Oryzias latipes: one gene and its partner. The protein of the gene in region 2 interacts with the protein of the main gene of each other region in a biochemical or structural test. Links are inferred from orthologs where the notes say so. Each region holds a gene or a part of one and is shown on either strand. Other genes may lie near its edges. The genes, in order: hadhb and hadha.

Region 1 (3,816 bases), on a different chromosome or scaffold from region 2:
CCATGTGTGCTCTGAATCAGCCACAAACCTCGTAATAGTATAATGATCACGGTTAAGGTTTTGTGAAATATCCAAGTTTTTTTTTTATACCTTGTCCAAGGCATTTAGCTGTTTCACACTTTTTCTTTCCCAAATTGCTTAATGTGGAACGTCTTACTTTAGTTGTTTTTCTTTGAATTAAACTCACCTGACAAGCTAATTATGACAGGTGTCTGTTGTCAGTGACCCAAAGAGCCCAGAGACAAAAAATTATCCGTGAGTTTAATTAAAGAATTTTGTTATTTTGACAATACAATTCGCATAATAATTTGGAATGCAGTGTAATCCTCCTTAGTATCCTTTGACAGCTCTTTGGCCTTGGTGGAGAGGTTACACACTCTTTAAGGATGTGGACAGGTGGCTTTCATACTGGTAGCAAGTGGAGGACCGAGAAAATTCTGAAAGAAGTATAAAGGCAGCAGATCCAGAAACGTTGTTCCAATTATTTTTATTTTGACACCATTTCATTTGTAACAAAAAAAAATATTACAGCATTTATAAACATTAGAGTCACCATGGTAATATTAAACTGCAGACAGGAAGTTCATCAAGTCAATCTTCTGCACTTTCTTCAACCTCCTAACAGCATTTCATTTACAAACATTCACATCCTTCTACATCCCCGTCCGATCAAGGCAAGGCGGTGCGTTTGTGGACCCTCCAGCGTCTACAAACATGTTAGTCAGCATGGACTGCAGGCGTGACGAGGATGAAGATCTAACAGAGTTATTGTGGATAAGCCTCCACCACCATGGCGTGACCCTGAAATCCAAGAAAGACGTGAGACAGACATCCTGAAGCTTAAGAAAAAAAGAAGGTGTTTCCTAGTTACCTGTCCTCCTGCGGCACAGGCTGCCACCAGCCCGTACTGCCCCCCCTCCCTCTTCAGTCGATGAGCCACTGTGGTCACCAGCCTGCAGCCGGTGGCACCGAAGGGGTGTCCCAGAGACAGAGAGCCCCCCCACGTGTTGAACTTCTCCATGGGAGGAGCCCCAACCTGCAAACACCAAGACACAGACATCAGACCGAGATGAGGATTTAACATTAGAAAGTGTCTTGATTTCTGACAATCAGACTTAGAGGCATGGAAATAAAAATAAAAAAGACTTCTTCTGTTCTGCTGGCAGATGCTCACAAGTCCCCTTTTCTAAAGCTCTGGTCAAGTCTTAAGGTGTGACTTCATGTCTAGTCCCAAGTCTACAGCACTTCATTTACAAACATTCACATCCTTCTACATCCCCGTCCGATTAAGGCAGTGCTTCTCAAATAGTGGGGCGCGCCCCCAGGGGGGGGCACGAAGCGATGCCAGGGGGGGCGCGCGGTGGTGGCGGTTTTAGGCACAGGTTTGTCCGGTGCGCAAATTTAACGTGGGGGCAGCGGTGACAGCGGCTCAGTGCTTGGAAAATAATCTGGTCCACTATTCGGTTCCTATTGTCTGTTCTGTCTGTCCGCGGCTGCGCGAGTGAGAACGAAAGGGGAGGGGTGGTGTGGGCCCTGTCTGCCAGGGGAATCGGGGCACGCGGACCACTGCTACCGCTGCCTGTTGCCCAAGATCACCGCTGCCCTTAGATTCCTAAGCTCATGCTAACAATGTCATTCTTTATGAACTATTGTAGACATTTTGATGACGTGTCTTTATTTTCCATCCATGTTTTCTTTGTCTGCCTGTGGTTTAGTTAGTGTCAGACAGACATAAAGACAGCAGGTAATGCAGGAAAACAGCTGCACTTTTATGAGATCAGAAATAAACAATCCGTCATTTAGAAAAAAAAAATCAGCACGTTTTTACCTATTTCTTCAGACTAAAAACGTTAAATATATTGGTGCTGCTGTGTTAATGTTTCAGATCAATTTAGATTTAATATTATTTATTGATTGAATTATTTTTTTCAGCATCAAATGGTTCAGTTGGTCAAAATGTTTCTAGTTTAAATAAGGAATGACAGATTTTTTTTATTTCAGGTACTTTCAGCTTCTTTTCTGTTTTAGACTAGAACAGGGTTTCTGTGGCTAAATAAAGTTAATATTTGTTGAAAGTGGATTTATTTTGCTTTTTTCTTTTGTTAGTGTTAAAAGATACAATTTTAGGTATACAAATTTTATAGATACTGACCTGATGTATTGTCACCGCGCGAGTGTGTCTGTGTGTGTGTGTGGGGGGGGGGGTTATGGGGGGGGGGGGGTCAGGGGGGGCGCGAAACATTTTCTTTTCCTAGGGGGGGCCTGGCAAAAAATAATTGAGAAGCACTGGATTAAGGTAAGGCAATTTCCTGTCTAGTCCCAAGTCTACAGCTATAATTTCATTTAAAATCCCATTTCGACAGCTATAACCTCATGTCTAGTCCCAAGTCTACAGCTGTAACTCGTCTAGTCCCAAGTTGACAGTTATAACGTCATGTCTAGTCCCAAGTCTACAGCTATAACCTTATGTCTAGTCCCAAGTCTACAGCTGCAACTCGTCTAGTCCCAAGTCTCCAGCTATAACTTCATGTCTAGTCCCAAGTATACAGATGTAACCTCATGCCTAGTCCCACGTCTGCAGCTATAACATCATTTATAGTCCAATTTCTACAGCTATAACCTCATATCTAGTCCCAAGTCTACAGCTATGACCTCATGTCTAGTCCCAAGTCTACAGCTATAAGATCATGTCTAGTTACAAGTCTACAGCTGTAACTGATCTAGTCCCAAGTCTCCAGCTATAATTTCATTTCTAGTCCCAAGTCTATGGCTATAACTTTACGTTTAGTCCCAAGTCTACAGCTATAATTTCATTTAAAATCCCATTTCGACAGCTATAACCTCATGTCTAGTCCCAAGTCTACAGCTGTAACTCGTCTAGTCCCAAGTTGACAGTTATAACGTCATGTCTAGTCCCAAGTCTACAGCTATAACCTTATGTCTAGTCCCAAGTCTACAGCTGCAACTCGTCTAGTCCCAAGTCTCCAGCTATAACTTCATGTCTAGTCCCAAGTATACAGATGTAACCTCATGCCTAGTCCCACGTCTGCAGCTATAACATCATTTATAGTCCAATTTCTACAGCTATAACCTCATATCTAGTCCCAAGTCTACAGCTATGACCTCATGTCTAGTCCCAAGTCTACAGCTATAAGATCATGTCTAGTTACAAGTCTACAGCTGTAACTGATCTAGTCCCAAGTCTCCAGCTATAACTCGTCTTGTCCCTAATCTCCAGCTATAACTTCATGTCTAGTCCCAAGTCTACAGCTTTAACTTCATGTCTAGTTACAAGTCTACAGCTGTAACTGATCTAGTCCCAAGTCTCCAGCTATAATTTCATTTCTAGTCCCAAGTCTATGGCTATAACTTTACGTTTAGTCCCAAGTCTACAGCTATAACCTCATATCTAGTCCCAAGTCTCCAGCTATAACGTCATGTCTAGTCCCAAGTCTCCAGCTATAACGTCATGTCTAGTCCCAAATCTCCAGCTATAACCTCATGTCTAGTCCCAAGTCTACAGCTGTAACTCGTCTAGTCCCAAGTTTACAGTTATAACGTCATGTCTAGTCCCATGTCTACAGCTATAACCTTATGTCTAGTCCCAAGTCTACAGCTGCAACTCGTCTAGTCCGAAGTCTCCAGCTATAACTTCATGTCTAGTCCCAAGTATACAGATGTAACCTCATGCCTAGTCCCAAGTCTGCAGCTATAACATCATTTATAGTCCCATTTCTACAGCTATAACCTCATGTCTAGTCCCAGGTCTACAACTATAACCTCATGTCTAGTCCCAGGTCTACAACTATAACCTCA
Region 2 (4,356 bases):
GACAGAATCATTCAAGGGTCGCTGGCGTCCGTCTTTATTCTGGTTCCACTCACTTCAATGATCTTCAGCGGTGCCGGATACAGCCCCTTGCTCTGCTTCATCACTTTGCTCTGGACCGTTTTGTAAATCTGGTTCCTCACAAACTCAAAACTCATCACATAGTCCTGGATTTCTGTGAAGACAAGCAGGTTTGAATCCCACGGACACAGAAGAAAAGCCTGAAGGGAGTCCGACCCACAGAACTCGCTCAGACCCAGAGAACCGGCTCAGACCCATAGAACTCACTCTGCATCATGCTCTTCTCTTTGTGGAGAGCGATCTTCTTGTTAACGATCCCTTTGGCACATTCCACAGCCACTTCCTCCAAGTATTCTATGGTTCTTTCTTCTGGACTCTTCAATCCAGGTCCTGTTTGTGACCATTAAAACATGAAAAGTCCCCAAACATCCCATAATATTCGCGAGCGGGTCACTGGAAGCTGTTTCTTCTTACCCAGGGGGTCTATGAGCTGGTGGACCAGCCCCATCTTCTTGGCTTTGTCCGCTCTGATGTTTCTTCCCGTCAGCATCATGTCAAAGGCGTTAGGAAGACCCACCTGCACCAAAGACAGACGTGTTCAGGGACGAAGGAGGCCAGAGAAAAACAGATCCATCAAGAACTTGGAATGCATTTGATGCACGGATGGATTCCATTACGGCCTTCTGACTAAAGAACACCTTAATCTCAGATTAAAAGGCAGATTTAGACCTTTCTGCAGCCTTAAACAGGAGGGCAGAGATGCTGGATTGGGGAGTGAAGCTGATGTTTCTGCATGTCATTAAGCAAACAGGTCACCTGATGTGAGCACCCACCATCTTGGGGAGTCTCTGCGTGCCTCCGGCTCCAGGTAAGAGGCCCAGCATGACTTCAGGAGTACCCAGAACTGTCTTCTTGCTTTTGGTTGCGATTCTGTACTGACAGGCGATGGCAAACTAAAAACAACAACAAACAAACAGTGACAACGAGGCCGAGTTCACCTCCGACAGGACAACAGGAAGCACTCACCTCCAAGCCTCCTCCTAAACACGAGCCGTTGATGGCAGCAACCACAGGTTTGGGAGATTTTTCAATCTTCTCGAACATCTTCTGGCCTTCCTGAGACAGTCTGCTGACCTCCTCTGCGCTCTTACAGCTCTGGATCATGCTGAAACGCACAACGTTTCCCAGACTCGTCACCGGATCCACACCCAAACAAAGCGTGGTTACTCAGGAAAGCTGCTAAAGCGCCTGCAGGCCGACACCAAACAAAAGCTTCGGCTGCAGGGACTCTTACTTAATATCGGCCCCAGCGATGAAACATCCAGGCTTGGAGGAGATCAGAACGGCACTTTTGACGGCGTCGTTGGCCCACACTTCCTCCATGACTTCCGTCAGGTCCTTTTGCATTTGCGTCGACAGCGTGTTGACCTGAAGACGCGCCGCAGCTAAAGTCACGCCATCGGAGTCAAACCAGCCGAGTTTGAGTTCTCACCTTTGAGTTTGGATCGTTGATTCGGACCACGGCCACGTCATCCTTGATCTCATAGTTCACGTGGGTCCGAGCTGCGAAGAGAGCAGACGGGGAAAAGGTCAAACGCCGAAGAACGACGGGACCTGAAGGCAGCAGGAGGGGAGTTACCTAGCATGGCAGGAGCCAGGGAGAATGAGCGATAGATGCTGCCTGAAAGAGAAAACACAGTGACAGTGGTTAGTAGACTACAGCTGCAGCTCTTTTCCCTTATTTAGGCTGTTTTAGCTCTGGAGCGGTCCTGTGGATAATCATGCTCGGTTTGCTTCCAGCAGAAAACCGGAGTGGCCCAAAACGCCTGGGAGAACCGTGCAGTTCCACAAACTGCTCATCTGGGGGCGCTACTTTCCCACGACCTGACCAAAAGCAGGAAAAGAAAAGCGAACCAGAACAGAAACCCCACTCTCTACAACAGAACCTGAGTTCAGGTGAGCTATCAAACCAGAACAACCCTTAAAAGAAACCGGGTCTGGATCAGACCAGAACCAGACCTGCCACAGAGAATCTGAGTCCTTCCTATGAAATGCTCCCAAAAAAAACAGTCTGTCTCGAAAACACACCTGTGGTACTCTAACAACATGTTCGGTTTCACTGAGGTGTCCTCGTGTGACAGCCGTGACCTCTCGCGCGCATGCGCTGAGCACTCTCCTCGACAATGACCCTTCACCTACATTCCCCCCTACAGACACAATGGCGATGAATGACCCTCACTTTCAGACATTTGCCTAAACACGCGCCAGATCAGAACGGATCTGTTAAACCCGCAGCCAGAACCGTAAATGGACCGGCTCGCTCAGGCGGTTCTGAATCCTAGCCACGGATCACCATTGATTCCGTAGCAGGAAGCTAATTAGCACAACTTGGAGGTTTGCGCTGCGGCTTCACGGACCAAACAAACCGGAATCTGTTTACGTTCGGAGGGAAATCCACGAACTAGTGTTTTACGACACGTTTTCTTTGAACGACACCAACACGTTTGCTTAACAGCACCGCGCTCACTTCTGCGAAGCTACAAGCTAGTTGTCTCTGTGGGAACAGAAGCTAAAGCAGACCTCGTTATCTATTACCAAGTAAAACTCCCGCCTGCTCCTCGCCGCCGTTCAAACTCCGCAAAGGTTTGTTCTACCTGAAATAAGAGCATATCTCCTCGCTGACAGCTTGGAGAGAACACCAAGGGCTCGGACACCAGCCATGTTGGGAGCGGAGGTCAGTGTGGAGCAGAAGACTACAAACTCAGTCACTTCCGGAAATGGATTTCTCCTGCTAGGATTTCATTGGTCGCTACTGGAGAATGCGGGCTTGTTATTGGCTACTTCTGAAGACCCCGTTTTTGATTGGAAGTTGTGGGTCAACACATTCCTTGACACTGAATGTCGTTTTTACAGAATAAACGTAATACTTTTCTTGAAGTTCTATACATTTTTTCACCCCCACAACTTTTTCAAATATTTAATTAGATTTTTTGATTTTAAATGGTTTATTTAAAGCAATCAAAGCAAGAATAATGCACAAAACAACACAATCTGCAGTCATACATTCATACAAAGACGTATCAAACTTAGGATAATTAGACACTAAATCAAATTATCTAAAATATGTGCAGATTATTTTCATTAGAAAAATCCTAAAATTAAAAATAACACTATATCAGAAAATATGATCTGTTATTGTCTACATTTAAACTGTTTGACAATATAGCAGTAAAATCCATGCAGTGATTTACTATTCTACACATTTCCTTTCATTCTTTGGTCACACATGAAACTTTCCTCCACCTTTCCAACCTTTCCACAGTATCATCTGCAAACATGATGGTCCACATAGATTCCTGTCTAACCTCATCCGTCAGTCTGTCCATCACAGTGGAAACAAGAAGGAGCTCCAAGCTGACCTTTGATGCAGCCCCATCTCTGTCACCCCTACAGAACATCTCACCACTGTCTTCCAGCCCTCATCCGTGGCCTGAAGATCTCCATCGTTCTTCTGTGTCACTCCAGACGTCCTCATCCAAACCACAGCTCCTCTCTGGATCCCGTCATAGACTTCCTCTAAATCTACAAAGACACAAATCTGCTTCTTCTGACCTTCTATTTTCTTCTCCAGAAACCTCCTCACATTTCTAAATTTAGCAGGAATCCGTTATAAGTAAAAAAAAAAACAACAACAAAAAAAACAGTTTCCACTTGACATTAAAATAAACCCGACTGGGAACATGCATTCAGTACATGGAAGCTACCAAAGGGGGCAGTCTGCATCCATTTAGACAGATCTTTCATTCAAAGTCGTCCAATTTGACATTCATGTTATGACACTAAAGTTTAATTGTCTTATGTTGACATTAACGGCTCTTTTTGTTTAAATGTTTGAATAACTGGTTCATTTGTGGAAACTGTTGATAAGAACATGAGGCAGAAACAAACTTGTGGCTGGAACAGAAAACCCATTTTGGCAGAGCTGTATTCTCACCTTTGCAGCATATGTTGTCAATAAATAAAATGTATGGGAAAAAAAACACTAGCTTTCACAAATGTTCTGACGAGCAGTTTTCTCTTATAATAGAACGGGGCCTGATCACTGCTGCTCGGTTCATCAGTATTGTAAAACAACTTACAGGCATTTTTATCTAGATTTAAATCTACCGTTGATTGTGTGTGTGTGTGTGGGGGGGGGGGGTAAAATACTTTATGTTTGGCTTATCTTATTTTTTTTAACATAGCAGATAAAAACACATCAACATTTTAATAAGAAAATTATTATTTTAGCGTTTTAGAAATAAAAATATCAGAAAAAAAGAACCGACGAGGCGCATT

What was found.
Region 1: the proteins of hadha (region 2) and hadhb are reported together in a solved structure, tested with the Homo sapiens proteins (2 studies listed by IntAct, with this or other methods). The link is inferred for Oryzias latipes from reciprocal best matches to the Homo sapiens genes HADHA and HADHB.

The regions. Positions count from the first base shown.
Region 1 is NC_019882.2:19,086,633-19,090,448, forward strand, and holds the end of hadhb (trifunctional enzyme subunit beta, mitochondrial), read right to left. Parts: intron 1,037-3,816; coding exon 872-1,036; intron 802-871; coding exon 766-801; 3' UTR 470-765; downstream 1-469. UniProt on the Homo sapiens protein: Mitochondrial trifunctional enzyme catalyzes the last three of the four reactions of the mitochondrial beta-oxidation pathway.
Region 2 is NC_019880.2:962,438-966,793, reverse strand, and holds the start of hadha (trifunctional enzyme subunit alpha, mitochondrial), read right to left. Parts: upstream 2,802-4,356; 5' UTR 2,740-2,801; coding exon 2,673-2,739; intron 1,700-2,672; coding exon 1,658-1,699; intron 1,582-1,657; coding exon 1,511-1,581; intron 1,447-1,510; coding exon 1,313-1,446; intron 1,184-1,312; coding exon 1,045-1,183; intron 972-1,044; coding exon 852-971; intron 596-851; coding exon 493-595; intron 409-492; coding exon 286-408; intron 173-285; coding exon 54-172; intron 1-53. UniProt on the Homo sapiens protein: Mitochondrial trifunctional enzyme catalyzes the last three of the four reactions of the mitochondrial beta-oxidation pathway.